Tribolium castaneum: one gene and its partners. The main gene of each other region encodes a partner of the protein of the gene in region 4 in a complex. Links are inferred from orthologs where the notes say so. Each region holds a gene or a part of one and is shown on either strand. Other genes may lie near its edges.

What was found.
Region 1: U4-U6-60K (region 4) and U4/U6.U5 tri-snRNP-associated protein 1 share a complex: the UniProt entries of both Homo sapiens proteins name them as parts of the U4/U6-U5 tri-snRNP complex. The link is inferred for Tribolium castaneum from reciprocal best matches to the Homo sapiens genes PRPF4 and SART1.
Region 2: U4-U6-60K (region 4) and SNRPG share a complex: the UniProt entries of both Homo sapiens proteins name them as parts of the U4/U6-U5 tri-snRNP complex. The link is inferred for Tribolium castaneum from reciprocal best matches to the Homo sapiens genes PRPF4 and SNRPG.
Region 3: the proteins of U4-U6-60K (region 4) and peptidyl-prolyl cis-trans isomerase H are in contact, whole or in part, in a crystal structure (PDB 1MZW), measured with the Homo sapiens proteins. The link is inferred for Tribolium castaneum from reciprocal best matches to the Homo sapiens genes PRPF4 and PPIH. Residues at the interface, in NP_004688.2 of Homo sapiens: Arg113, Gly116, Glu117, Pro118, Ile119, Thr120, Leu121, Phe122, Gly123, Glu124; in NP_006338.1 of Homo sapiens: Phe14, Arg26, Phe46, Cys47, Thr48, Gly49, Pro57, Ile58, Gly59, Tyr60, Lys61, Gln173, Cys174, Gly175, Glu176, Met177.
Region 5: U4-U6-60K (region 4) and LSm3 share a complex: the UniProt entries of both Homo sapiens proteins name them as parts of the precatalytic spliceosome. The link is inferred for Tribolium castaneum from reciprocal best matches to the Homo sapiens genes PRPF4 and LSM3.
Region 6: U4-U6-60K (region 4) and U6 snRNA-associated Sm-like protein LSm5 share a complex: the UniProt entries of both Homo sapiens proteins name them as parts of the precatalytic spliceosome. The link is inferred for Tribolium castaneum from reciprocal best matches to the Homo sapiens genes PRPF4 and LSM5.
Region 7: U4-U6-60K (region 4) and LSm7 share a complex: the UniProt entries of both Homo sapiens proteins name them as parts of the precatalytic spliceosome. The link is inferred for Tribolium castaneum from reciprocal best matches to the Homo sapiens genes PRPF4 and LSM7.

Annotation. Positions count from the first base shown.
Region 1 is NC_087395.1:24,228,532-24,233,764, reverse strand, and holds U4/U6.U5 tri-snRNP-associated protein 1, read right to left. Parts: upstream 2,801-5,233; coding exon 2,623-2,800; intron 2,576-2,622; coding exon 1,929-2,575; intron 1,877-1,928; coding exon 509-1,876; 3' UTR 195-508; downstream 1-194. Other genes in the region: APC7 (anaphase-promoting complex subunit 7), read left to right, coding at 2,943-3,011, 3,059-4,207, 4,459-4,932. UniProt on the Homo sapiens protein: Plays a role in mRNA splicing as a component of the U4/U6-U5 tri-snRNP, one of the building blocks of the spliceosome. May also bind to DNA.
Region 2 is NC_087395.1:18,415,590-18,419,302, forward strand, and holds SNRPG (probable small nuclear ribonucleoprotein G), read left to right. Parts: upstream 1-2,203; 5' UTR 2,204-2,331; coding exon 2,332-2,363; intron 2,364-2,408; coding exon 2,409-2,556; intron 2,557-2,611; coding exon 2,612-2,662; 3' UTR 2,663-2,716; downstream 2,717-3,713. Other genes in the region: zinc finger Ran-binding domain-containing protein 2, read right to left, coding at 1,167-1,847. UniProt on the Homo sapiens protein: Plays a role in pre-mRNA splicing as a core component of the spliceosomal U1, U2, U4 and U5 small nuclear ribonucleoproteins (snRNPs), the building blocks of the spliceosome.
Region 3 is NC_087395.1:17,965,906-17,969,541, reverse strand, and holds peptidyl-prolyl cis-trans isomerase H, read left to right. Parts: upstream 1-1,684; 5' UTR 1,685-1,763; coding exon 1,764-1,847; intron 1,848-1,893; coding exon 1,894-2,070; intron 2,071-2,115; coding exon 2,116-2,409; 3' UTR 2,410-2,454; downstream 2,455-3,636. Other genes in the region: peptidoglycan-recognition protein 2, read left to right, coding at 899-956, 1,006-1,225, 1,271-1,389, 1,440-1,630; G-patch domain and KOW motifs-containing protein, read left to right, coding at 2,525-2,658, 2,710-2,900, 2,951-3,149, 3,197-3,507, 3,556-3,636. UniProt on the Homo sapiens protein: PPIase that catalyzes the cis-trans isomerization of proline imidic peptide bonds in oligopeptides and may therefore assist protein folding. Participates in pre-mRNA splicing.
Region 4 is NC_087397.1:1,343,942-1,349,456, forward strand, and holds the start of U4-U6-60K (U4/U6 small nuclear ribonucleoprotein Prp4), read left to right. Parts: upstream 1-2,678; 5' UTR 2,679-2,819; intron 2,820-2,879; 5' UTR 2,880-2,883; coding exon 2,884-3,052; intron 3,053-4,193; coding exon 4,194-4,731; intron 4,732-4,778; coding exon 4,779-5,177; intron 5,178-5,223; coding exon 5,224-5,515. Other genes in the region: zinc finger protein 131, read right to left, coding at 1,499-1,786. UniProt on the Homo sapiens protein: Plays a role in pre-mRNA splicing as component of the U4/U6-U5 tri-snRNP complex that is involved in spliceosome assembly, and as component of the precatalytic spliceosome (spliceosome B complex).
Region 5 is NC_087399.1:10,143,038-10,146,571, forward strand, and holds LSm3 (U6 snRNA-associated Sm-like protein LSm3), read left to right. Parts: upstream 1-2,106; 5' UTR 2,107-2,243; coding exon 2,244-2,264; intron 2,265-2,313; coding exon 2,314-2,421; intron 2,422-2,467; coding exon 2,468-2,644; 3' UTR 2,645-2,662; downstream 2,663-3,534. Other genes in the region: SCAR (actin-binding protein WASF3), read right to left, coding at 2,980-3,534. UniProt on the Homo sapiens protein: Plays a role in pre-mRNA splicing as component of the U4/U6-U5 tri-snRNP complex that is involved in spliceosome assembly, and as component of the precatalytic spliceosome (spliceosome B complex).
Region 6 is NC_087394.1:33,640,292-33,643,932, reverse strand, and holds U6 snRNA-associated Sm-like protein LSm5, read left to right. Parts: upstream 1-2,041; 5' UTR 2,042-2,178; coding exon 2,179-2,221; intron 2,222-2,324; coding exon 2,325-2,521; intron 2,522-2,603; coding exon 2,604-2,633; 3' UTR 2,634-2,663; downstream 2,664-3,641. UniProt on the Homo sapiens protein: Plays a role in pre-mRNA splicing as component of the U4/U6-U5 tri-snRNP complex that is involved in spliceosome assembly, and as component of the precatalytic spliceosome (spliceosome B complex).
Region 7 is NC_087399.1:1,125,257-1,129,089, forward strand, and holds LSm7 (U6 snRNA-associated Sm-like protein LSm7), read right to left. Parts: upstream 1,524-3,833; 5' UTR 1,391-1,523; coding exon 1,364-1,390; intron 1,310-1,363; coding exon 995-1,309; 3' UTR 923-994; downstream 1-922. Other genes in the region: glucose-induced degradation protein 4 homolog, read right to left, coding at 58-225, 416-562; ENGase (cytosolic endo-beta-N-acetylglucosaminidase), read right to left, coding at 1,815-1,932, 1,984-2,456, 2,643-3,748, 3,797-3,806. UniProt on the Homo sapiens protein: Plays a role in pre-mRNA splicing as component of the U4/U6-U5 tri-snRNP complex that is involved in spliceosome assembly, and as component of the precatalytic spliceosome (spliceosome B complex).

The DNA of each region.
Region 1 (5,233 bases), on a different chromosome or scaffold from region 4:
GATTACCGTGCAATCCCTATCCTAATCATGACTGATAATGGTGCTCACGGAAGTGACGTGAAAGGTCACGTCGAGAGCTGGTCATCAACCATTTATTTTTTTAATTAACTATAACTTTCTGTTCAATATTTTCCTTTATTACCGTTTTGTTGGAAAATATGGGAAATTGGTAATTTCTAATTAAAACACGGAACTCACTTTTAATTCATTTCATTTATCGCAAAAATTATTACACCGTTTGTACTCGTAGGGAGCCAGACTTTAAAACTTATTCATAAAACCATTATCATTATCGTACCCGTCCCTTAAAAACGATCTACAAAACAAAAACATTTCGTAACACTTTTCGTTAGGACTTTGTAAATAAAAACTGATAAAAATGAAACAATTTATACAATTTACAATGATGCCCAGTTTTCCTTAATTTAAAATTGCCACTTCTTTTTAGAGTAGCGCTGAATTTTGTTCACACAAAATTATAGTATTTATTTATTCTTAGTCATTTTACTTAACGCCGACTTTTGGAAATAACCGCCGTTTGCTGGCTCTGCTTGTTCCCCGACAAGACCACATACGGCGACTGCGTCTCCTTCTGCTTCGCTTGCAGCATATTCAAAGTCCCTAAGGGCGTATCCGTCGAACTCATCTTCTTCATCAACTGCTCCTGCACGCCCTTCTTTATCCTCTTCTCGATCTTATTTTTCCCCGGCCCTTTCCCGTGGAACTTATGCGAGAGATACCTGAAGGCCTCCTTCGAGTTCAACACGTGCCCATCATCGTCGATATACTCCAACTTAACATTGGGCTTAAACCCATCCTTCTCCTTAAACTCCATAATGGGGCCAGTGTACCTCTCCCGGCGGTTCGCGCGATCGCCCTCATCCCCGTAGGTCTTGTCCTCGATAGAGTAATGCTTGGCTTGCAAATGCGCTAACCGCGAATTCGACGGCCTCTTATTCTGCTCCTTGTCCAGGTACCCCTTGCTCATTGCAAGCTTCAAAGCTGCCCCAAGCCCTGTACTGACATCAGGCTCTTCGTCGAGGATTTGCACCTCTTGTGGGGCAATTTGCGGGCTTTCGTGCGGCTCGTTTGGATCGACTGAATTCCAGCCGGTTTTCTCCTCCTGCTCGACTTCGTCCATTTCGGGCTCGTCTTTCAGATCACGCTCGAAATCGATCAAATCTTCGGTTTCCTCGCGGTTGCCGGACTTGCCGTACGTTGGGATGTCGCCCAAAGTGCGGCAAAACTCCGCCGTGGCGTTCAGAACAATACTCCCCTCCAGGTTTTCCTCACTTTCGCTTTTAACCGGCGTTGATTTAACAATCTCAGCAACGAGGTTCTCCTTCTGTTTGATTTTGCGTGTCTTGTGCAGCGCTTTTTCCAAGAGATCGTCCTTCTCGTCCTCGAGTTTGACGTCCGTGGGGTATTCCATTTCGGGGATGTCGTCAATGGTCAAGTCTTCGAGCTCTTTCTTTGGGCGTCTTGAGCCGACTTCCTCGATGCCTTTGTTGTTAATTTGTTGCTCCAATTCATCAGCGGTCAGTTTTCCCTTAGTTCGGATTTTGCGGACTTTCTTTTTGGGTTTTTTAAATTTGGACAGTTCCTCGTCGTTGTAATATTCCGATGCGAGTTTTAAATCTTTTGTTTCAATCGATTCGATTCTTTTTTTGGCGAGTTTTTCCTTAATTGATTGCACGATTGCTTGTTTACGTTCAACCGCATTGTCGTAACCGATTTTGAAGCTTTCGCGTTTTTCGCCGTCGATTGTTTCGTCGTATTGGGCCAAAAGCGACTTTTCTTTGGGGTTGCCAAACTCGTCGTACTCCTGGTCTTCGTAGGCGTTATACAAAATCTTCTTCTTCTTGTTTATAACGTTCTGAAATTTGATGATAAATAATCATTCACTGTAAATATTTGTAACAAATTACCTTTTTGTATCTCTCGTCCTCAACCATGTTGACATTGACCAGGACATCCTCCTTGTCTTCATCCAAGACGCCCTTGTCTTGCAGCGTCAAGATAACATCCCTTTCCTCAGCAAAGCTATCAACATCATGCTCCACCCTCAGCCCTTTCAAATTCCTCTCAGTGTATCTCTGCTTCCTCTTCTCCTTCTTCTCATTCTCCACAAACTCGCTGACCCCAAACTGCTCATCCAACTCCTCCAACATTTTCGCCCTTTTCTCAGCCTCCTTCTTGGCCAATTCAATCTTGCGGTTCTTATCAACCCACGACTCCACATTATCATCACTATCACTGTCCCCCAGCAGCTTCACCTTGCCCAGCTTATTCTCCAGCTGGCGCTTTTCCCGAATCGTTGTCAATTTGCCCTTCAGCTTCTCCCTCTCGTGCTTATCCGCCCAATTCTCCGCCGGCTTGTGGTAAAACTCGCCCCAATCGTCCTTCTTCTTCCCGTCATCCCGTTTCTTCTCGGACTTGTCCCCCGAACTCACATCGAGCGGCTTCAGGCCGAGCTTCGCCCGCAGTTTGTTCGTTTCCTCAATCGAGAGACTCTCAGCGTTTTGCCCGGAGCCCGAAGGCTCATCGTCCGGAATCACCTCGATCACGTCGGATCCTGGCAAAAAATCATTCAAACGGGAAAGTTGGACGCGGGGTGCTTACCGTCGCTGTCGTAGTCGTGCTTCGCCCTCGCGTCGCGCTTCTTGTCCCTGTGGTGCCTCTTGTGGCGGTGGCGCTTCTCCTTCGGGGGCTCATGCTCGTCGGTGTAGCCGGGGCTGTGGTGGCGCCGCTTACGAGACTCTTTCTCTTTTTCTTTGTATTTTTTGCTACTAGAACCCATCCTTTTTACAAAATTTGAAGGAAATACCTACCGTACACAACGTCAATGCAACGTTTTGACGTGCGCGAAATCCGGATTGGTGGTTTCGCCGTTACGGGATTTGCCGAGTTCAAAAACCTAACCCCACATTTGCCAAGCCAAGATGACCAACTTATTGAAGCAATTGCAGGCGATGTACGAGCTTGCCCTGCACTCGAACATCTCCCGAGTGGTTTGTAGCCCCCTTTTGGGAGTCTGAGCCCCCAACTGTGCTTTTAGTGCGACTTGGCCCTGTCGGCGTCCGAGCAAAAGCCCGACTTTTTGCCCCCTTTGCAGAAGTTCCAGGTGATGTTGCTGTACGCCGATTCGCTGTACGAGACGCAACAGTTCGCCCAAAGCGAGAGTTTGTACCGCCAGGCCTTACAGCTCCGCAAACACCTCTTAAAAACCAAGTCAATGTCTAATAAAATCACGGAGAGTCAGCCCGAACTGGCCAGCGATGTGGAGATCAGGTTCAAGATACACAAGTGCTGCATGGCCCTGAAGCAGGTGAATGGGGCCATCGAGATGCTGCAGTCGATTCAGGCCCGCCTGCGGACCCCCAAAGTCAACATGGCGCTCGGCAACTTGTACAGGGAGGCCGGGATGGAGCGCTCGGCCATAACGTGCTACAAGGAGGTGCTCCGGGAGTGCCCGCTGGCCCTCGAAGCCGTGGAGAACTTGCTCAAGCTGGGGGTGAAAGGGGTCGAAGTCAACGCACTAATGGTGGAGGCAACTTCCGAACTAAACTGGCTAAACCTCTGGCTCAAAGCACAAGCCCAGTTGTACTCGCGCGACTTCGAAAACGCCGCCCAAACGTACAAAAGCATGGACAGCCACGGTCTACTCAAAGACAACACGTCGCTGCTGGTCAACCTGGGCTACTGCTACCACTACATGTGTGAGGACGAGACGGCGATTGCAGTCCTCCAGCGGGCGATTAAACTCGACCAGAACCTAGTCTTTGGTCGCGATTTACTGGCCACGCTTTTGGCGAGCTCGGGGACTTCCGAACACGTTGAGTATTTGGAGGATTTGATCCCGACCTCGGATATGTCGCTGTGGACGAGTGAGCATTGGGTGGTCATTGGCAATCTGATGTTTTCGACGAGACGGCACGAAAAAGCCGTTTATTTCGCACAGCAGGCGCTTTGTGCCTCGCCCAAAAACATAGAGGCGTTGCTGCTGAAAGCCAAGACGCTGGTGGAGCTCAGCAAGTACCAGGATGCCGCCCAGCATTGCACGGAAGCGATCCAGATCTGTCCGTTTCGATACGACTTGCACCAGTGTTTGGTCGAGTGCTATGTGAAGATGAATCGGCTGAGGGAGGCCGACTCCATGGCGCAAAATGCGTGCAAACAGCTCAATTTCAGCCCACATTCGGTTACGGTAAGTGAAAAAATTGTAATACGGTAAAGAGAGAATTGGCTGTTAGACTGTTTTTTTGGGACGAATTATTTTAAAAACGTATCACTTTTTTTTCGTTTGCCTTCATCTGGCAAACTAATGCGCTATCTGAGAGGAATATCGGGATGGGACGTTGTCTTTGCTTTAGGTGTCGAAACGGATTAGGCGCCATTAAGTTGTTTTCTTATTTATTCCTCAAATAACAACAATTACAAAAAATAGTTTCACTGCAGTTGCACGCCTCCGTTTTACTCAAAGACCCGATGACGTCCGGGAAAACGGTGCGAAACCTCCTCGAGAAGGCCGTGAGCCAAGACAAGACGTTTTCCACTAAGGCCGTCTGTATGCTCGTGGAGTTGCTCGAGCAGGAGCAGCAGTACGACCAAGCTCGGCAGCTCCTGCTGAAGCACGTGGAACAGCACCCCACCTCGCGCATCCACCAGATGCTGGGCGACTGCTACGTCAATTTGAACAAGGACAGCGAGGCTTTCCACCACTACAACGTGGCCCTGCGGCTCGACCCGTCCAACCAGAGGGCGACCGAGGGCCTGAGTTGCATCGGACGCAACGTGTCTTTAAGCAAAAGGGAGAGCTACTACACCTGCGTGGGGGAGACGTCGTACACGTCGCCAGGGACGAGCGCCTCCGAGGACGATGTTTTTGTCCAGAACGATACCGAACCCTGGCCTACCAATATGAGTTTCTAGGTGATAACAATTTTTTTTACAATAAAAATATTTAAAGTCACGCGACTTTGTTTTCAACAATCACAGGGTTACATTTCCCTAATTATTTACGTGTTAAAATACAAAGTGTTAGTACTATCACGGGGAAAAGGTTTCATTTCTTTTAGAATCTAGGATACATTTTTGACCCAAACAAACGTCCCTAAGCTAAACACAAGCGGCCGCGGCCAAGCCAAACAATAAGCGCTTGTTCGTTTATAAATTTGTTACAATTAAGACAATTATTGCTAAAATAATCTCAATTTCCCAAAATTCTCTTCGC
Region 2 (3,713 bases), on a different chromosome or scaffold from region 4:
AGCAACCCCAATTAGGTACGCACTAACTAACGGAGAGATAAAATTTAACTGAGGTTTAATTGTACTAGAAATTGGGCCTAAGAAGCTTATAATATAACGAAGTTTATAACGTTTGTGTATCAGATAAATTATAATTAAACTGAAAATAAGCAAATGAAGTTCGTAATTCTACAATACAGCGTGAATCAAAACTCACTTCCCAGAGAAAATGAGGCCGTAAAAAATTGAGTATCTGTAAATTTTGAAAAAAATTAGCCGTCTTGAACGTTGTTCGAGTAATAGGATTCTAAAAATCACCAATCCCAGAAGCTCAACCTCAGAAATGATCTTGAATTAAAGTAGGTTACCAGGCTTTAAAAATACGTAAATATTATGAACGTGACTACTACAGTCATATTGACAGAATCTGAATAACGTTTTGACAAAATTTATAATACAAGAACTTATTATTTCTAAAATGGTCTTAAGTACAACCAAAAATACCTATTCAAGCATTCACTAAATCTCTAATCTATTGCTCTCGGAGAGGCCCAACTTTAGGATGTCTTAACTCGATTACCAGTTGAGATACATTTTTTTTTCAAATAATTTCTTGTTTTGACTCGCCCTCTTACACCTTTTTCTCTGGGGAGCTAGTTCTGACACACGCTATATTTAATTCCAAATCAAAATTGTTTTCCCGGCGCATCCACCAATTTGACACCATCATGAAAATGTAAATAAAACACGATAAATTGTTTGTATCTTTATTGTAATTATTGTAAACGTACATAAGTGCTTATATGGATAAGTAAAGAAAATCCTAGGTTGGCGCAATGAAAATTTAGGAAGTCACTGAAACAAGAAAACATCAGATTAAAATCCCCCTAAAGGATTCACGTTTACACATGTTGATCTACTCAAATCAAGATTTTTAGTCCTGATTTGAAGAACGCACAGTTGTCACTGTTAATTTTACAATTAATATGGGTTACTCGTGGACGATAAATATTTTACAGCGTAACAACTACAAAAACTAACAAATTTCGTTAGTCACTTGGTGCTAGAATCTATTCGATTTTCAGGTGAAGAAGAATGTAAATCAGGCACCAATAAAAGTAATGGTTTATTGTGTATACCTAACTCGAATTTACCACCATACAAAGCAGATTTATTCACCTAAATGTCTATAAAAATTTCGACTCGACTAATGACTTTTTTTTTTCGTGTTGTGGAGACCGTGACCTCGACTTAGATCTTGAGTTATTTTGTTTACTATTCGATTCCCCTGAATCCCCCCAATCCGACAGATCATATTTCGATAAGTCTCCGTCGTCGTCATCCTCCTCCTCGTCCTCCTCCTGCTCCTCCTCTTCTTCCTCCTCAACCTTCTTCTCCACCTTATCTACACTATTTTTCATCTCCTTCACCTCCTCACTTTTCTTCTTTTTCCTCCTCCCGAACTCGTCATATTCGTCGTCAGACTCGTGCTCCTTATACTCGACCACCCCCCTGTCGTTATACCCCCCACCGAACCCCGTCCTCTCCTCCACCTCCCCAAACTTGGGGGCGTTACAAACGTTACACTGCTGCCTCCGCGCCCAATTCACGTTACCGCATTTGTTACACTGCCAATCGTCGGCACTAAACAACCCGCGACTTTTCTCTGCCGCCGCTTTACCGATCTCGTGCCCCAATTTGCGCTTTTTCGCCGACACCGGCCCCCGACTTTTGTAACAACGGTTACAGTTGTTACGGCGGGCGAAATTTACGTTACCGCAGTCCGGACACGTCCAGTCTCCCTCGTTCGACGCCGACGGGCTTTTCAGCGACGGCGGCGGGGGCGGTGTCACTTCGGCCTCTTCCATGGGGGCGATACTAGACTAGAAAAGGCGTAAAGAGTAGTGGCTAGAAGGAGCACTACTAGAGGGAACGGAGGAGCAAATGTTAACATCTGGCGGTACTGGTACTGCTTTTACCTTTACTGAACCTTTTTCCAGCGGTTATTCCAACAAATTTGTTGATAAAAAAGTAACGTCAAACCGAAGATGCACCGAAATGTCACTAGCACAGAGGGATTTTCGACGCCAAACGTTGCCCACACCAATCAGGACACGATCACCAAAACAACAATTGCCTTATTTCAACGCAACACTTACCGATTTCTGATTACAGTTATCACCAAAACCAATGACTTGTTTTGTTTAATTTTTTGCATTAACTATACGTTAAAAATGTGAAAAAATTGGGACAACTGATCATGCCCTGTACTTAGCAACTGTCAAATCTGTCAGTTTGTGTCAAGCGTTTGAAGAGCGTTTTAAATTTTAAAAACTCAAAAAAGTACACAAAATGTCGAAAGCACATCCTCCGGAATTGAAAAAGTGAGTCTTGTTTTGTCGTAGAACGTATTACTAGTTTTTTTGCAGATTTATGGACAAAAAATTGTGTTTGAAGTTGAATGGGGGCCGACAAGTCGTTGGTATTTTGCGCGGTTTCGACCCTTTTATGAATCTAGTGGTGGACGAGAGTGTGGAAGAGTGCCGGGATGGCAAGAAAAACAATATAGGGATGGTGGTACGTTTCTTTTGAATTAGTGTGGATTTGAAATTTGAGGTTATGTTTATTACAGGTGATCCGGGGAAACAGTATCGTCATGTTGGAGGCTCTAGATAGGATTTAGTTTGTAATTTTGGCTTAATCGATAATTATTTGTAATAAAAGCGTTCGATTCTGACCGAGTTTTCTTTTATTGGGCTTGGGGTAGGGTGGAAATAAGTGAATTAGGGTAATAGGAGGGAAAGCATTATCGTCGTCGCTTTTGTGCGTTCATTCACAAAGAAATTCAATTCGTATTGTTTTCCTCGAGCGGTTTGTCCGTAACAGTGTATGAAAAGCTTAGAGAATGTCGCATGCGCGCCGCCACTGTTCCACCGTCGGGAAAATATTGGAAACGTTCGCTAGTTTGGCATTAAAGCGTCTCGGCGGCGACGTTCCAGTGAAAATTTTCGTGTAGTGACGAGTTTTCCAGAGCCACATCACAATCAGCGTCAGGTATTGCCCCCATTGACAGTTTTTCCGGGAAAACATCCGGATCGAAATTAACACCCACTCGATTTTAATGTCATTTCCTTGGAAAATGAGTTTTTTGAGGAACAGTCTTAAAGCAACCACCCTTGACTAGGTCAAAGGAACACGCTGAAATGTATTGCCCTATAAGATTTCGCTTTAATTAGTTAATTGTGCCCGAAACAATGGACATTATAACTACAATCCCCAAATTAAATGGAATAATTTTTTAAATAGAATCTTGTGAAAGGTGACGGGTAATATTGGGATAAAATCGGCAATCAAACTCCGAAGATGACACTAAGAGACTTTCCAACGTCATATTGACCCGTCTTTTTCATGTCAAAACAGCATTTTAATAATGCCACCCTCGAGAGAGTTCTATTTTTATTTTTCCTGGAAATTCTCCAAGTTTTTCTCGTTTTTCCAATACGAAAAATTCAATTGTAATACTTATTTAATCCATCACTTGGCTTAATTAGTTTAGAAGACTTTTCTGATCGCCTCAGGATATTTTTCAGAAAGGGATCACGTTTCAACTGAAACAACCTTCATTATGTAACGTTATCAAATTCCCCGTTTATTTACGTCTTTTCAAATCACGAAAAATCCTAAGCGGTCATTGTCGGCCGTCAATCTCGCTCGTAAAAAAGGAATCCGTTAAA
Region 3 (3,636 bases), on a different chromosome or scaffold from region 4:
GTTACGTCAGTTTAATTGACACCTGTCAGGCGAATTGTTTACAAAATTGCAACAAGTCAACATTTTTGCAACCGCTGATCGCTGACCTCCCACTTAATTATTGCACCAATTTCCAAATATTGGTGTTATCAAGATTAATATTCAATTTAATTTCAATCGCTACTGATAACACGCCTGTTAATAATGTGTTAACTTGGGACAAATTTAGGTTATGAGGCAGGTGGTTAGGATAAGCGAAGCGTTTGTGTCCTTACCTAGGTCATCCATGGTAATAAGCTGCCGTTCTAATACTAATTTTAAGCAAAACTTCTCAACTACATCACGAATTATCGGCACTTTTTAGGAAAATGACCTTATTTAGGCATTTTCGCAGAATCACAAATGTCAAGATATGAAATTCCAGACGGTCAGTGTAGGCAACCTTGAAAGAAGTAAACAACGGACGGGCAGCGCCTCTCAACAAGTTTTGCAAAATTTTAAAAACCAAAATTTTTTTCCCGCACAAACCTTGCGAATTAACTGACTGAGTTGCCCCCCGTATCTAAGTGACTTGATAACTGCGTAACGAAAATTACGTTAAGTTATGATTTAATAAAACATGATAAGAACTGATAGTGATAAGGACGTCTAAGAAGACTGCAAAATCCAGCACAAAAATAAAATTAAATTCGTTGCTCTTGTTTTTATTTAACTTTAGTCACCGTTGGTGAAGTCCCTGATCGGGAATCCCCACAACCCAGAGATAAAAACCATAACAAGAAGATAAAGTCATAGACCCCACAGGTCACCGTATATAAATGCAGAAGTTTATCATCTCGAAGGTTACTCGTGTTGTTCCATTAAAGGACGTGCTAATTAAATAAATAATTTTAATTTTGCATACAAGGCAAAGTTGAATATGGGACGAAAGTTCGTGATTATTTTCTCAATTTTGCACCAAATTCTGGCTCGAACAGGTAAAACCACCGCTCAAACCCCATCCATTGCTAAATGAGGTGTTTCCAGAGTCAAACTTGCCGGCAGTGTGCCCCGAAATCGTGAGTCGCACTAGATGGGGGGCTCGCACTGCTTTGGAAGTGGATTACGCCCTAATCCCTGTCGAAAACGTGGTCGTGCACCACACGGTGACCAACACTTGCAGCACTGAGGAAGAATGTGCGGCGATTTTGCGAAACATTCAGAATTTTCACATGGAAAATCTAGATTTTCACGATATTGGATACAAGTAAATTTGATGATTTTTGTTTTTTTTTTTTTAATTATGGTTTAGTTTTTTAGTGGGTGGTGACGGCCAGATTTACGAGGGCGCAGGTTGGCACAAAGTGGGGGCGCACACACGTGGGTACAACTCCCGGTCTTTGGGGCTCGGTTTCATCGGCAATTACACGAGTAGGTTGTTTTTCGTGTTATTTTCGTACTTTACGAGCCTTTTATTACAGCTCAACTTCCAAATAAAAAGCAGATACAAGCCGCTAAAGATTTTCTCCAATGCGGGGTTGAGTTGGGAGAGTTGGGCAAAAGTTTCAAACTGTTTGGGGCCCGCCAAGTCAGCGCGACGGAAAGTCCGGGCCTAAAGCTGTACCGCGAACTACAGAACTGGCCGCACTTTACCAGGTCCCCGCCGAAATAAACTGTATTCTAGTTTTTAAAATAAAATTATTATAAAGCATACGATTTTGAATTTAAATATGGCGCCCATTAGTCGCAAGTTTGAGGTTATGTTGTTTTGATTATTCGAGGTTAGGGAACTAAAAACCGTAAAAATGCCGAATTGGGACCAAATTCAAGCCCAGTTGAAGCACCCAGCGAACCCGGTCGTGTTTTTCGACATTTCCGTCGGAACTACGGTACCAATAACCCAAAATTTCCGAAAACTGTATTTTTCGATTACAGGAAATCGGCCGAATGATTTTCGAGTTATTCGCAGACGCGGTCCCCAAAACCAGCGATAATTTCCGCCAGTTTTGCACCGGCGAGTTCCGCAAAGACGGCGTGCCGTTGGGCTACAAGGGGGCTAGTTTCCACCGAGTTATCAAGGACTTTATGATCCAAGGGGGCGACTTCGTCAATGTAAAAATCACGGGATGCGATTCCGCAACTAATTAATATTTTTAGGGCGATGGGACCGGCGTTATGAGTATATATGGGGGCGGAACGTTTCCCGACGAAAATTTTAACCTAAGACATGACGGTCCTGGACTTCTATCAATGGCAAACAGCGGCAAAGACACCAACGGTTGCCAGTTTTTCATAACTTGTGCAAAGTGTAATTTCCTGGACGGCAAACATGTGGTGTTTGGACGCGTTATTGACGGACTTCTCGTCATGCGGAAAATCGAAAACGTGCCCACGGGGCCCAACAATAAGCCCAAAATCCCGGTCACAATTGTACAATGTGGCCAAATGTAGTAGTGTAATTCAAATTTTAATAATAAAAGCACAAAATAAAACTTAGTTTAAATTTTTATTTTGTCAGGTTGGTGGTCCCATAACCTCACTTGTCAAAAACGTAAATAATCGTGAAATGGAAAATAAAAAAATATCGTTCGGTTTCAGCAAAATTAGTAAAAAGACCGAAATCAGGTCAAGTGTTCCGAAACCCGAAAATAAGATACAGCTAATTGACTGTTTAGAGGGTCAATCAATTAAAATAAAAGGGTATGTTTCGTTTTTGAGGTTATGTTATTTTTGCCAAAAACCTCATTTTAGTGCCGTTGAGGAGACAAATGAGCCGTTGGTGATACCAATCCAAGGCCCATCAAACAAATTAATAGACCAAATAAAAAAAGCGAGGGAAAAACACGTCAAACCTGAAGTTAAAGAAGAGACAGGGGAGGCAAATTCTGTGCCAGACTCTGCCCTATCTCTTGACGAATTAGCGGCAAGAGAGTTAATCCGAGGTACTTACCCTATGTTTCAAGTGATTTTCTAGTGTGAATAAAATTTTCAGAGGCACAGACTCGCAACACTGTACAAAGCGAGACAAAAGTCTACTCCTTGCCTTTAAATGACGACAAGTTTGTGGCAGAGGGGGCACAGGAGTCGTCTCTCGACGACTACGAAAGTGTACCAATTACAGATTTTGGTATGGCGATGTTACGTGGCATGAATTGGAAAGAGGGAATGCCAATTGGGAAAAGGACCAAAAAGTTGGTTTAACTTTTCTAAAACACATCCTGAAAATGATTTTTTCTAGATCTGAGGTCCCAAAAGTCCCAGAGTTGCGCCCCAAAGGCCTGGGCTTGGGTGCCAATAAAATGGTCAATTCCAGCACCCCTTCACAAAGTGTAGATAAGGAGGGTAAAGCGCTCCAGCTTGTGAAGGGGGCTTACGGTAAAATAATAGCCGGCAATCACAGAAGTCAATACTGCCAAGTCCAGGGTCTGGATGACGAAAATTGCAGAGTTATAGTGAAGACAGCTCTCACGAATGAGATTTTAAGCTTAAATGAATTTTTAATTGTGCCAGTCACGAGTGAGGAGTATAATAAGTGTTCAAGGGTCATAAGTGAGTTTGCCTTCAATTGTGGGGTTTTGAGTGATTTTGAGGTTTCAGACAACGCGAAGTATGAGGAACATGTGGAAAAATCGGCGAAAGTGGAGCGAGATCGCTCAAGGTCACGCTCATCAAGTCGCG
Region 4 (5,515 bases):
AATTAAATTCGAGTTTAATAATAGCCCAAGCCGATGACGCACTTTAAAATCGATAAAATGACCGGTGGCGGGTTTGAATCGCGCGCCTAGTGCCATTTTCGTAATGTCACCACTCAACAGGTGGCGCTTCGTAATTTATTTAAACATAAAACACATGTGTTTCCATGGCTTTTAAAAATCATGGATAATGAGATGGGGCCGGTGTCTGTTAGACTGACACGATCGTTTGTTGATTTGGTTGTTGTTTAATTGGGCTTGTTGGTGCTTTAATTGCTTTTTTTGTAATAATTATGGGGCGTTTGGGGTTTTATAGAGTTCCTATATTGGGAGAGTTGGGACACTGAATGTCAATTTTCGAAATTTTGTTTTATATACGTCGGTTGGAATGTGTAAAAAAAACAAATTGGGATAGAAATCAGTGGTGTTACACTTGAAATTTGGCGAAAAGTCAAATAAATTTGTCAAAAAATGTTTCCATTTTTCGTCGACTAACTGCGTTTAGAAATGGTTTAGACTGGCAGTCGTCGTCAATTCACTGTTTTTTTTATATGAACTCCACATTTTAAAAGAGATTTCTTTGTAAGTACAAGAATTTTACGTCTAAACTCTTCATCATAAACATTTTTTCCTTAACTTTAAGAAATGGTAATCATCGATGAAAGAGAGAGAAATTGAACCTTTCCAGCCAAGTTTTACATTTTTATTAACAAGCTTTTGGAAAAGTTGAGCGTCTAAATAATGTTATGTACAAAATCTATGAGATTTTGGGAATTTGTCTATGTATTTACAAAATACGTAGGTACTTGAACCCAAAATTGGTTCTAATTTTTAGGAAAGTTGAACCTGTCGCTGCTTGGCCGCTTTTAGCATCTACGTGAACTTTAGATTCTGTTTCAAATTGTAAAGTTATTGGGAATTCACGATTTTGTTACGTTTTTCATACGAGAACACCTTCAATATCATTTTTTAGAAAATTTAAAAAGACGACAGGGAATATGAAGGGTTTTTGATGACCAATTTTTGGGAAGAGATGTTTTACTAAAAATTGTGACTGAAAGAAAAGCATTTTTAGCATTGAAGTATGTTTTAAGTTATGTATTTAATATTAAAATAAATATTGAAAAATTTCAGAAATGTGAACGTTAATATTGGTAGGTAATATCTACGTTTCCTACGTCCCTGGTTAAATTTGACGTAAAATTATGTCATTTTATGCATTTGACAAAAATTATAACCTTGAAATTATTTTCGACATAAACCTTTGACATAAGTTACTAACAAAAATTTTAATAAAAAAGGATAGAAATATATACCCTATCCACATAATACAAAATTGGCTCGGTTTGACGTTCAGTGTCCCAACTCTCCCAATAAAGGAACTCTAGGGTTTTATTGACGTTGCGAGGAGAATCGATTGTTGGCAGTTTGCGGGCCAAGTGGAGTTTCTCATGGGGTCATGAAAAATTGAAGGGTTTTGCTTTTTTTAAAGGGGGCTTACGTGGTCGACGTTGATCTCTCCTTTGTACATGAACTCGACCAAGCACTTAATATCTACATATTTGACATCTTTCATGATGAGGATGGGGTCTTTTTCTTCGTACTGGGACAGGATGGTTTCGAAGTAGGTGCTGCAGGCGGAGAGGACGATCTTGTGGGCCTTGATGGTGCGCCCCTCGCAGGCCAAGGTGACGTCGCAGAAGGCCTCCTTCTCGAGGAGCTGCGAGAACATGGTCTGCAAGTTCGAATGGTGGTACCTCCATCTTAGACAATACTGTTGAGGCAGCATTTTTGGTTATGTTCGTCCAGCTTCCTTCCGACTGTTCGCGTTGGAGATGACGAATTTACCAAAAAGTAATGAGTCACCAGCGTGAGACCTTCGAAATAATCAATACTCGTCGGTTTTGGGGCCTTTGGGCGAGCGTTTGTTTTTTAAATCACCACCACTTCACTGGCACGGCACAACGCATCCGCAAGTCGACTGTTTTTGCGAGGTTTAACAATACAAAGTCCGGCCGAGGATTTCTCAAAAATTTGGAGACGCGTATGTAAATGTTCAGTCATTTGGAAAATTCCGACAAAAAATGTGTCCCTTAGTTTTTTATGAGTCAGTGAGCCAATAGAAACCACGTAAGACCCCTATAAACCATGTATAGTCCGTATATTCGCCGGGCCAAGCCTTTAAGGCAAATCAATACCGCACGTCTTAAAAAATTCTCGCGTAAAAAATCTTGGGAATTGTCGAGGTTTTTCGTCACACACAAATATTTGTCGAGAGCAACGGCTTTTCAGCCTAACTAACGGCACCAAACTCGACTAACGCAGATCCAAAACGGGGTCAAAAATTAAACCGACACAGACTCGGACTGTACTGTAATTAGGCCTTTCATATTTATTTTTATAAACTTGAGATTTTTCAGAGCCTGGGAAAGAAAGAGAAAATCTATCAACTGTTCAAGTTCAACGATCGGTCGTCGCGCCGATTTCGCACAAATTCACCGATTCTTTCACGATTTTCGCACACAAAACACCAGCACGGACATTGCACGGCTATTTAGGCGGTTTCCGCGGCACAACATCGTACATTTACTAAGATTTCCGGACCGAACTTGATAATCTCTCTCTCTCATGGAATTTTTTGGAAAAAAATTTAGACAGAGATAGCAAAACGCTATGTAAAGAAAACAGAAATATTTCTTTTGTGGAAGAAATCGTAAAAACTTGCCGTTGGCTACACTGAACTCACCAGGCGGTTTTGGTTACTTTTTTTGCGACAAATGTCAACTTGACGTTACGTTTTGAACCGATAGCAGTGATAACATGTAAACAAACGTTTTTTACGAATTAACTTGCACAAATACTCATTTTTGCTCAATTTTTAGCACCATGTCCGACGATGAGGACGCGCCTTACGTGAAAAAAACCAAAAATATTCACTACGGCTCGTTGGAGGAAGCGGAAAGAGCTAGGTTAGCAGCCGGCGATGGGAACGATGATAGCAATGAAAAGGCCGAAAGCACGTCGGCGAACCCGCCACAGGTTCACATTTCCACAGGTATTACTTTGGCATCCGTAATTTCGTCCAAATGCCAAAACCTCGCACACAAATGAGCTAAAGCTCAAGTCAACATCAGTTTAATGTAGCGCTAAAATATTCACGAAAAATCTAGTACAAGTGGTACATTATATATTTCTTATTCCTTAATGGAGCCTCGTGGCTCAAAACCCAGGTTCTGTTTTTTGTAATTTCTGTAAAACCAAATTTTGAGTCATGGAATCAAAGTTTTTTATTAGAATACTTAAAATCTTATTATTTATTTATTTATACAGGGTGAGTCAGTCATGAGTTAGTTCTGAAATCTGATGCAACCAGTAAAACTAATTCCACCTGTCCAGTTGTATTCCATTTTTTGAGTATATTGTTAACTTTATCTTAACAGTTTTGCCACTGATTTTGCTAAAACTCCTTTATGAACTACTATTTTTTCAAAAATAAAAAACCGAGTAATTTACCCTGGTATCTTTATTACATGAGAGTATTAAGAGTAAAATTTATCGTTGTAACTGATCGTTTAAATGAATTTCATCGTAATTTATCTCAAAAAAAGCTGGTAAGCAGAAGGTTAAAGTCTCAACATTGTAGCCAATATTTTCTCCAAATTCTTGTGATAAATTTTTTGCCAGTCGACATTTAGTGACATTTGAAGCGCTCAAGAGTGGCTTATTAACGGCCCAGTCAATAACTAGGTTCACATATTGACTCGAGTTGCTTTGTCATGCGAAATAATATGATTACAGATTTTTAAAAAAATATAAAACCTGAGTGATTCAGGAAAAAATCAGGTTTAATACAGCGATTAACTTGCACTTTGGCTTTGAAACTGACAGCCGCGGTGTTATTAAATCAAATGCTTTATTGCGCTATTAAATAAATAATTCGTATTAGAACTCCTTTAATGCCATAAATGCACAATAATATTAAATTGAAAAAAGTTGTGCCATAGGCCCCAGCTTTATATAATTTTTGCTTTTTAAAAAGAACAGTTTGTAGGTGTACCTACGAATGGTAAATAAAAAAAATGTTTATATAACAGCAATTATCACACAATTATTAAAAATGCGTGCTTAGGTGCCTGTTTTTATGTTAAAATCTTTCACTTGAATCTAATAAATACTGTTACGTTTAATTTATTCAGAATACATGGAGCTTGAGGACGCCATGTCCCGCGACAAGCAAGCCCTCTTGGAGGAATTCGAGCGTCGTCGTAAAGCGCGCTCTATTAACGTCTCCACCGATGACGCCGAAGTGAAACGAAACCTTCGCCAATTGGGAGAACCGATCTGTCTATTCGGGGAAGGACCGGCAGATCGGCGTTCACGCCTCCGTGAAATACTAAGTCGTATCGGTGAAGACGCAGTCATTCGACGCGAAGCCGAAGAAGAACGTAAAAATTTCGAAAAAGATCTCGAAACAACGTGGTATCATGAAGGCCCCGAAAGTTTGCGAATAGCCAGATTATGGATAGCGCACTATTCACTGCCGCGGGCCAAAGCCCGGCTTGAGGAAGCCAGAAAAGCGAAGGATTTATCAACGGCTACTAGAACAGCCAAGAAGCAGGAAATACAGAAAAAACTCCAGATTATGTCGATTTATTCGAGTCAGATTGGCGATTCGAGACCTATTGCCTATTGCCAGTTTAGTCCAGATTCGAAACTTTTAGCCACAGCTGGATGGTAATTATCATTTAATAAGTGAAATGAAATTATTTGTTTGATTCAAGGAGCGGGTTGTGTAAAGTGTGGTCAGTGCCCGACTGCACACTCAAACAGACCCTGAAAGGTCACGCCTGTAATGCCAGTGCTATTATTTTCCACCCTAGAGCAACAATCAGCCAGGAGGAAAATATTTGCAATATGGCATCGTGTGCAGCCGATGGTTCAGTAAAATTGTGGGATTTTCAAAGCGAGGAACCGATCGCTGATATCGAGGGCCATATGCCACATCGTGTCTCCCGGTTGGGCTTTCATCCCTCTGGAAGGTTTCTCGGGACTTGTTGCTTTGACTGTTCCTGGAGATTGTGGGATTTGCAGCAATGCACCGAAGTTTTACACCAGGAAGGACACGTCAAACCTGTCTATTGTATTTCCTTCCAGATTGATGGATCGGTCTGTGCCACAGGGTAAATACTTTTGGTAAATTGTGACAAATAATTAATTTCCCAACAGTGGTTTAGACTCATTTGGACGTGTGTGGGACTTGAGGACCGGAAGATGCATCATGTTCATGGAGAGTCACTTAAAGGCGGTTCTAGGGATAGATTTTTCCCCTGATGGCTACCACATTGCCACGTCTAGCGAAGACAACACTTGCAAAATTTGGGATTTGCGCAAACGTTCCGTCTTGTACACAATCCCAGCTCATACGAATTTAATTTCGGAGGTGAAGTTTCAAAGGGACGGCGGCGATTACCTAATTACTTCATCGTACGATAACACGGCGAAATTGTGGACAAATCGG
Region 5 (3,534 bases), on a different chromosome or scaffold from region 4:
CCATTCTTTGAAAATGTATTATGAAGGGCAACAGAAACTGTGTAAAGTTAAAAATGCTTACGTTATTAGCCAGTAGTGGTAGATGCAGCGACGTCTTATTTTAAGGAAATGAAAATAAGATACGGAATCAACGGAAATGCAATTGGTGGAATAATCATTGCCAATCCACCTGCTGGAATTCCCTAAATTGGGATGTCGGTCGTGCTTTTGGTTATTTAAGCTATAGAAAGTTGTTGTTAGGTTGGTAGCTAGGTCTAGTGCGGTGCTAATAATCTTTCTCTTATAAACCTCATTTTTTGTAAATTAATTGTCAGTGTCAAAAATTTTGGAATTATGTTGGAACCCTGCCACATTGACATAGACGACTAATTTTAAATGGAGTTGCCAACGTTGAAACAATTTGAAAATTGATTTTAATTCCGAATGGACTTTAGCAACCAGTAATTTTATATACGTGCTGATTCTTTTAGAGCCTATATTACAAACTTTTTAACTTCTAACATAGGTTGAGCTTTAAAATTTTGTACACGATTCAAATCGATCACTCTGAGTTAAAACTAAATTATTTTCAAGATGGCTGAACTTCCGGAACTACGAGAAATTGGCGACAACTTTGAAATTTTAAATGGTGACCACCTATTTTTATTGTGTTTCTGAATTCGCCTTTTGAAACTGAGTAAAATGTAAACCTAATTGTTAGTACTTATCTGTCTTAGTTTTTGAAATATGTCAAATGTTTTGATAAATTTTTTATTTGCAGAGGTTTATTTAAAACATCATAGCTCTTGAGTACTTTAAAATAAGTGAATAATTCTTTTTGCATTTGATAACCAAAGGCTCGAAGGGTCTTCTGAAATCTTTACGATTGTCAACTGTCAAATTGCAAGGCTACTATGATATTTTGAAAATGATAATTAAAAAACAATTATAGAACAGTTTTTTTAAATGGAATGACTTCAATGGCAATCAAAAGAACATCAATTTTTATGCAGACTTATTAACATCTTCTATATCTATCTCTTACAGTTTTTGAAATAATCTCAAAAAACCGAATTCAAGGTAATTATTTTCATTTTTAATCGAGTAACCTTTCAAAAAATACGATAAAATTGTACTAATGATTAACAGAAATTTTAAAACTGTCCCCCATTTTCACTCAAAAAGTTCAAAATTCGATGGCAAACTGACTGAGTTATTCACTAAGTTAGCATAAACCATAATTAAATATTAATGTTTTGCTGCTTATTTGATAATGAACCAGCTAAAAACTAAGTAAAGTGTCGAAGTTTGACAATTGTTGACCATTTTGCAAGGTCTACTTGATTAACTATAAAAATTACGAAGTAAAATCCGTTATTTGTGATTTTTTCAAAAACTGTAACAGGTAAGGTACAGGACGTGTTGATAAAAATCACCATGAATATTGTTCTTTCGATTGCCGTTAAGAAAATAGAGTCGATCCATTTGAAAAAACTGAATTATAGCCGATTTTATTTTTAATAACCATTTAAAAAAATCATACTAGCCTTGAATTTTGACAGTTGACAATTTTGAAAATTTTAGAAAACTTTTCGAAACTCCGATAATCGAATTAAAAAAAAATATATTCACTTCTCCTAAACGGTTCAAAGGCTGTGATAATTTAAATAAACCCTTGCAAATAAAAATTTTACCAAAAAAATTGACATATGTAAAACTAAGACAGATAAGTACCAACAATTTTAATAAATTTTACTCACTTTGAGAGAGTGAATTAAAAAATGTAATAAAAATGTTTAGTTACTCTTCAAAATTTTAAAGTTGGCGCCAATTTGTCGTGGTTCCGGAAGCTCAGAAATTTTGAAAATAATTTAGTTGAATTTCAAATAGTCGCTTTTAAAGCACTAGTTTTTTTTAAAGTTAAAAAGTCTCTAATGTAGGTCCTAAAAGAATCACCCTGTATAATCTGCCGATTTCTAAGTGTTAGTGAGTGTTAAACTATGCATGATCCCTAAAACGAGTGATTGTATTATTTTAAAAAGTAAAACGCGGTAATAATCTGTGGCTTTAATTAAAAAACAAATTTTTTTTAGATTCAAAAAAACACCTTCCGCCCGAATTTTATTACATGCCAAGACCGGTCTGTCCGAATATCGTTAAAATCGAAAAAGGTGTTCTTATTGTGGCGACACTGTAACGACAACTTAACCTAACTTTTGGCCTGTTTAATTTAATATTACAAACAAGTATCATCTTTCGTGAGAATGGCAGATGACTTAGAAAATGTAAGACCCATTTCATTTAGAATTACATTTCACCTACCACTCCTTTCAGATTCCCTCAATCACCGTCAAAGAACCGCTCGATTTAGTGAGGTTAAGTTTAGACGAACGTATTTATGTAAAAATGCGAAACGATCGAGAAATCCGGGGCAGACTCCACGTAAGTTGTCTAACAAAGTTCCATCCATCACAAACCGAAATTCCAGGCTTATGACCAACACATGAACATGATCCTGAGCGACGCCGAAGAGACCATAACCACGGTTGAAATCGATGAAGAAACATATGAAGAGGTTTACAGAACGACGAAACGTAATATTCCCATGCTTTTCGTCCGAGGTGACGGCGTGATCTTGGTCTCACCCCCAATGCGCACTTCGTAAATAAAACACATACGTTGACATGATGTTTATTTACCCATTAAATATCGTATTTTACAAAGATTTCCTGATAATTGGTTAAAATATTAAAAAGGAGTATTAGGATAGTACGAGTTAAATAATTCTCTATACAACTTAATTTATAAATAAAACGTTCATTACAATATGTACATCTCAACCCAAGTCAAAACCATCCACTGTAAACGCAATCTAATAAGCTTATCATGCAATGCCTCAATAATACTGGAAATTTGGCATATTGCTAAAGTTTGCTCGTTAAAAATTGAAAATTCGTTGCTTCAATACACTTGACTAGCCGTGCTAGCCTTCCTTCTATGTCACGCCGACGTTTCATTTTCGCCCCAACCCTCACTATCACACTCCGAATCGCTTCCTGAATCCGAATCGCTAAACTCGACTGCAACCCTCCGAGCTAAAATACTCGCAACATCGTGGAAACCGTTCCCTCTCTCCACCTCCTTCTGTTCAATCTTCTCCACCTTGCGCAACTTAATCCCATCTCGGATAGCTTTGAGTAAATCATTCCTGGGATCGACGATAGGCGGCGCCTGCTTTGGCCGATCTTTGACAGGTGTCAATTGCGGCGGCGACGCACTATTTATAATTTTCGCCAAATCGCCGTTAACCAATGGGGGACTAGTCGTCGGGCCGTTCAGTAACGGCATTGGTGGAGGTGGTGGCGGAGGCGGGGCTTGTGGAGTTTGTTGTTTGGGGGGCGAGGCTTGCTTAGGTATGGGCGGTGGTGGAGGTAAGTCTTGCACCGGTTCGGGAGGTGTGGCTTGATGCGGACTGTTTGAACGCGATTGGGTGGCGAGATGTGCGGGGATGCCGTTGGGCGGTGACATGGTCGTGTCGGGTGGTGGGGGCGGTGG
Region 6 (3,641 bases), on a different chromosome or scaffold from region 4:
TTTTTTTATTAGTTAAAACACAAATGTGTTCAGCTATTTTGCATTTGAATTCTATGTTTGGTTTTCCAGACATCAGTCTCAAGCAAATTTTACGAAGCACTGAAAGTCCACCACACGACTGATTCTGTACGTAAAAAATACGTTTATTTGTTAATTTACGTGAATTTTTGCCCAAAACACCATTTGAGCATCGGTTATTTTATGAATGACATAAGGAGTAATAGTTTTTCTGTGCAGCGACTATAATAATTAGTCACAAAAAATCACATGCACAGAGAATATTTAATAGCAAACGCTGAATTTTGTGTAGTAATTAGTTTATATTTTAGACTCACCTTGAGGAAGTCACGAGAAGCTTATCATGTAAAAATTTGAAAGTATTTTGGCGCTTTGTTCTTTGAATTTAGAATACAATAAAGCATTAAGCGTATTTTTTGTATAAACATATCATGGCGTTTTTATACGCGATGGTCCGTTAAGTCCATCCTATTATGCGTTCTACAGTTATTGTCAAAGTTATTACTTTCACCACTCCTGCTTTTCATGCTCATGATATGCGTTCTGGCATCGGTAATAATGCACAATGCTGAAATCGATACATCAAAATTATTCAAATTTTATTCATAGTTCTACATCAGTGTTGATATTCCCCACTTATAGATTTATGTTCCGCGTTGATATTTAGGTAAACAACGTCATGATTTATAAACACTACTGCTTAGCAAAGTGTCTAAGTTCCTATGTTTGGTGTTGGAAGTAATCATTACTTTGTACACTTTTTGTGCTTAAAATCAAAACAATTTGCGTTTGACATGAGTAAATAACTTGTCTTTTATCTAAAAATGCCCATTTCAACGGCATATCCTGTCGTTTGCATGTCTTTTGGTTGCTTTCCTCCTGTGTACCTGTAATATGCTGAAAGTAAAAATGTGGAAATCCACTTGACATTTTCTTAATAGCTTTCAGGGAAATGGAGATGAGTTTACTTTCTTTCGCCACAAATATTGGAATACATTAGAACTAACGTGAACTTTATAAAAATCTGTGGAAACAAACACTTTGTGTGAGGAACGTTGGGAAAAATAGAATATGATTAATACAAATTCGTTCAGGAATTTCCTGGCCACATTCCTTGTTAGCGGTATATCCAAAGAATGTTTATTATTCCCATAGGTATATCGGTCGTGTCTAATCACAATTTCATTATAATAATCCACATAATGATAATGTCAACCACAGTGGTCAAGTTATCATAATAGAATATTGTTTGCTGCAAGTAGCATTTTAATGTGTTTATTTAAACAGCATGGACAGGGCAACTGAACTCTTCCAAGATAACTGTAACACGAATATAAATAAAAGAAAAACTCCTGAGAAATAAAAATAGCTAAGCATTCACATTCTGCTACAATTACCATTTATTCCCCGATATAAATTATACGCTCTCGAGCTGTCGTGTTATAAAAATAGAGCGTTATAAATCATATTAAAGAGGAATAAATCAATGTGTAGGGGTATAAAGCTCTTAGAGAACGTAAATATAGGCTAAACCAAAATAACACCATTGTTTCAATTAACTGGAGTATACTGACCTTTTATTACAAATTGATGATTTTAAATTCCAAAATTTACTCCACGAACATTATTGTCACGATTTTAGACACAAGTTCACTTAAAAATACGATTATTTATTACAAAAAACACAAAACCTACAACTACAACACACTCAACTCCCACCTCGGTCGGCATTTGACGAAAACGACAAACGACTGAAATACCGAAGAAAGCCGCAAAGCGCATGACCTGTTACACTGCAAGAGCTCCAAGCTCGCACATACGCGCTCCAAAAGAAATAAAAAATAAAAACAATTCATGCATTCCACGCCGTAAAAATGTAACCATAAGGCGGTAAAGTCTTAACAAACGTGTGCCACTACTTTTTGTAATTGTCTTAAGCCGTATTTTGATCGTTTATTAAATTGTTCGGTTCCGTAACGTAAGTCCTAGCTTGAGCTTTTTGCTGTAGTTGCGACACTAGCGCCATTAAGCTCCTGTCAAAATCCTTTTTACTGTCAAATTGATTACTTTTTGCTGTTTGTAAATGTAAACAGTTGTTTCAAATATTTATTGCTAATTTAAGAATTTATAATTATTTGAACGTATTATTAAACGGTCAGAATGACTTCCATGCCTGTGTCTTCTTCCACCTTGCTTCCGTTAGGTGAGTAAAGCAAAAAAACGTAACGTGTTTTTTTGGTTATCTGCCGGTGTTTGAGCATTCAATAATAATCATTAATTTATTAACGTTGTTTTTGCTATTGTAGAACTTGTGGATAAGTGTATAGGGTCAAGGATCCATATTATTATGAAAAATGATAAGGAAATCGTGGGGACGTTATTAGGCTTTGATGATTTTGTCAATATGTTACTGGAGGATGTAACGGAATATGAAACAACGCCTGAAGGAAGGAGAATTACTAAATTGGACCAAATTCTGCTTAATGGGAACAATATAACAATGGTACTTTATTTTGTGCTTCGTTTTTATGTTTAATATGCCATACTGTATCTAATTAATTCTTGAAACTAATTCAAAATTTTAGCTTGTTCCAGGTGGAGAGATGCCAGAGTAAGTCATTTGAATAAAGTATAAAATAAGGGCATTTTTGTGTTTGTTTAATACCCTTTTTTGTATCATAAAAAGCTCTTATTTTTGATGAAAACAACACTGTACATTTAAGGAGAGATGTGTTTGTGTCAAATTTGTCCTAACTGGGCCTTTTAACACAAAAAAATAAGTTGTTCAGAACATTACTTTGTAATCGCGGGTTAGGCAACCACCTTATCTTGTTGTATAATGTGTTGCCAACTACTCCAGGCCTTTACAATGAAAAAAGGAATGGAACGACGTTAGAAAATAACTAAAAGTCGTAAAAACGGTTCGTTCCAGTGAATTTTGCGGCTCATTTTACCATATATCAGCTTTTTACGCAATTTAGAACCCACTGGAGTTGCTAAAAGTCCATATGTTCGATTTTTTTTATCCAATTTTTTGTCTCGATTTCCGGTACCCGGAACATTTATATAGGTTTGGACCAAAATAGTTCCATAATTTGAAGAGAGCCGGCCAGCAGCATTTTTTTTTCACTAAAAAAAGTCGTAACTCAAAAAAGTCGTAAAGCAAAATGGTTTGTTCCAGCGCATTCTACGAATCACTAAACTAAGGTGGGGGTGAAATAAAACACCGTTGTACTGTTATTCATTTATAGAAATAGAATAGACATTTTTAATCACAGTTAGAATACTATTCAAGTTTAAGTTTCTGATTAAACTACTCTACAGAATTTTGAAACTTTGTTAAGTTTAATCTCAGAAAATACTGTATTCAGGGTTTGCATTAAACATCTCTTATAGTCAACGAATCGTAAACTCATTATTCATCAACCACAATTTGTAATATCTATTTTGATTTAAAAAGGTTGACTGCACGATACATAAATTATGCCTATTATTCCGAAATATGGATAAACATAATCCCTTGTGCACTAATCCCCGTTAAAGTCTGTTGAAATTAAAGCCGACTGTATCATGTAGTCACCCTGAGTGTAATTCCTCATTTGTACAATTTTCAACTAACGTAG
Region 7 (3,833 bases), on a different chromosome or scaffold from region 4:
TGCTTGGCTACTTGTAATTTTTGAAATTGTGCTAAAAACAAAGATTTGGGTGCTCACCCAGTGTTTTTTGTCCACGTCCTCGTCGGCGTCCCACTTTCTGGTCAAAAACGGGTACTTTTGGCTGATAATTTCGCCGTCGAAAAACGTAGTCAAGGTGGGATACTCATCGGTGAGCCCGTTAATTTGCAAATAGCCACACAAATAGGAGTTTTCCTCGTCGACGTGCTGGAAAAACGAGCGAAATTTAAATTTCCCGCCATTTCGGATTGCATTAGCATATGTTGATATTTTTAGTTTTCTTTAAATAAGCGGTGAGCAAAAGGGACGTCACACGTCCTACAAGGGTTCGAACGGTACAAAGTCATCGAAATTTTGGTTAAGGGGGGCAATGGTGCGATTATTTGCAACTTCTAACCTGTAAAACCACTTCCACTTCGTACGAATTGCCTTTCGATTTCTGGAAACCTTGAAATTTGGAGCCGTTGTATAAGAGGGACTTTGTTACCCCCGGCTGTTTTGAATTGGCCGGCGGGGGAGGCGTAATATCCACCCTGACCGGCATTTTTAAAGCACTTTTGCACTCAACTGTCACCAATGTCACTTTTTTGAAAGGAAAATGGCGGCGGTGAGTCATCCGAGTCGGTCAGAGCGTTTTTGCGCATGCTCGGTGCGCAACAGGGCCATTAAATGTGTGGGCGACTGTACTCAACCGTAGTTTTGGACAGAAAAACCCATTTTTGCAATCAACTGAATCAACCCAGATTTATTATTTGGGGCAATTATTCGTTAATCTCAAGCGTAATTAACACGTTTTTTGTGTGTACGCTTTAATTACTTTTGGTTATAAGCATTGGTGGTTGCTTACGCTCATTATAACTAAACTTCTAATTAATTTATTGAGCTAGTTTGTGCAATAAAACAGTTTTATTAATTTTTTACCGGTTTTATTCAAAAAAACGTCTTACAAATTAGAGGTATTTTTATGGTACAAAACTTAGTCTTGGGATATAAAGGGGTTCTGTATGGACTCCATGCCGTCCATGGGGCATATGAGCACGACACTTGTGCCCCTACAGACCACCAAACCCAAGGCCCTCGTGTCTTCTGTTAATTTATAAGGGTCGTCTGGATCTCTCAAGTATTCGATTGTGTTGTCTAAGACGAGGTTCAAAAGGGGGTCATAGCCTTTTAAAATACCACTAGCTTCTCGGCCGCCCGCAAATTTCACCCTAATTGTCTTTTCAAGGTATTTAGAGAGGTCTAGAATCGACTCTTTACGTTTCTTCTCTTTTTGGTCACCGCTCTGATTCTACGGTAAAAATGGGGGTTGAGGGGGCGAAATGGGGCAGTTTGGGGTACGTACTTTTGATTTGTCACCTGACGATGCCATTGTTCGGCTTTATTTGTGGAATTTTGCCGATTTTGAAATTCTAACCTAGAATACGTTTGGAGGTGACGCGTGCATATGGTCTCCTATGCGCACGGAACCTTCCGATTAATTTTGAAATAAAAAAAAATAATTATCGGTTTGTAAAGTCCAGCAATTTCGTAATTAATTTTCTTAGCTTCTAAAGAATTACGTAAAAATTGACGCAATTTTGGGACACAATTTGTAGAGGACTGCTTGCGCAGTGGAGGTACAAAGTTTCAAATGAAAAATGCAAAATTCTCGGTTATCATTTATTCAAAAAAAGTTATTTACACATTGGGGCGTTACTAAAGCATTAATACATGTTAACTATTTGGGCTTCAAGCCCTGGCAAAATGTACAGTATGGCAGAAAATTGTTTGTACTGTTGGTCACGAAAGTTGTGTCAGAGTACTAGAACGTGCTCTTCGACTCCAAGACCGCACAAATAAATCGCTTTTCCCTCCTCTAACGTACATCCAATTTCCAATAACGTACACGGCGAACAATCAAACTGATAAACACTGAAAAAGTTAATTAGTTTTTTTTTCCTACCAAACGTGTGACCGACTTACGCAATTGTTAAATTTTCGTGTAGAAACAAATCGTCGTTACTTCTAACGACGTGATTAACAAGTGAGGGGTTTATCGAAGGATTGATTTCCATTAACGTACAGTTTTTAATTAGGTGTTCTTTGACGGTGCTATTGCATTTAATTTTTCTAATTGTACCGTTTTTATCCGAAGTGAGGAGATTTAAACTTAATTGAGCGGCTTGTGCGCGTACTAGTTTCGTCAAAACGTAAATTGTGATAACTCCAGATAGGAAAATATCACAGGTGAAAATACGATGGACGTAACATATTGAACTATTCAAAAATTCTTTAGTAATTAAACACCTAACACCAGTACTGGTGAAAGCACACTGTAAACAGTTGCACTTATTGTTCAGTGTTGGTATTTCGTGGTGGTTGGGGACCCATTCTAGTGACTTTGGGTGCTTGATTTTTGAGAGTTGCGGGTGTTGCGTGAACAGGTCGTAGACGTCCTTAAAATTAATGCATTTGTTTTTATTAAGTTATTATAATTTTACTTAAAAAGTTATAACCCGCTATTTACATAAGACAAGGACAGAGCTATAGGAGTTCCGATAGGAAAGAGTGAGAGAGAAAGGGCGAACTATTTTTCGTAATACGAACTTGGGCGCGTTATAACTAATTAATTAGTTAAATACCTGGTTAACTCCAGTGAAAAAACTGGTCTTGAAGAACCTCGTAATGGGATGCGTGTATAAATAGGGCCACAGACTGTTCCAAAAAGCCGAGTCTCGATTAATAAAATCCTCGAAGAATTTTTGCCGATTTTCACTTTTGGGCAGCGTTTCGTGCGTCCAGCCTGGCGCGAAAATCGCCATTGATAAGTTGTGTCTCCTTATCATCTGGGCGGCCTTGAAACAGTTGAATTGACCGCCTCCGAAGGTATTGCGACCGAAGACATCCACCCCCACGTAAACGTCCAAAGTCCGATGCTTTGCAAATTCAATCGAATTGTGGATATTTTCCTCAGTCCATACGTAATTGAGGAAAATACCGTCACAATTATCGAAGAAAAATTTATTAAGGGGGTTGAGCTCATTTTGCCATTTCAATTCGCCCGTTTCAATGATACTGTCGTACCAGATGATTAAATGGTCGGGGTTTTGGGTGTGCGTTTGCACCCCTAAGTAGGCAACGAATTTTTTCAACATTTCGGTGTCTTGGAGCGAGTTTTCGATGTTGAGGAGCCACCCGTCGAATTGGAAAATTTTCAAAATTTGGGTCAAAGAAGTTGCGAAAATTCGCATCGTGTCCTCGTCTTTGAAAATCTTCTCGCAAATTTTTTTCCCCGGCTCGAATTCTGTTATCAAAGTTCCAAGAATTTTCACGCCGTTTTGATGCGCGGCATTTATCCAACACAAAGGTGGGATTGTGATTAGGTGGTGACTGAAGTAAACGAAAATATCGATGTGTTGCCAATTATAAAACGAGTACAAATTCCCGATGTTGCTACTTGACAAAAACCTGTCTTCCAAATAGCCACCTTTGTAGTCATGGCACACTAAAGTTTTGGGAACAAATCTCTTATCGAGACGCGTTCGTGGACCGAATTTTTTCGCATCGCAATGACAATCCGAAATTATGTTTTGCACTACTGTGGGGCTGCGCTCGGTCAAGGGCGCGACTCGGCTCACCCACTGGGGCGGGTTTTCGATCACTTCGGAGATGTTGTCCAATGATGTGATTGGAAAACACTCGAATTGGTTTAGTTTGAGTTTTTTCATGGCAGGGGGGCCGTCACTTTCTACAAAGAGATTTGAGACAACTGGAGGCGAAAAATGAGTCTTGTTACCAGTACTCATTATCGGTAATTGTAGGACGGCGGGAAA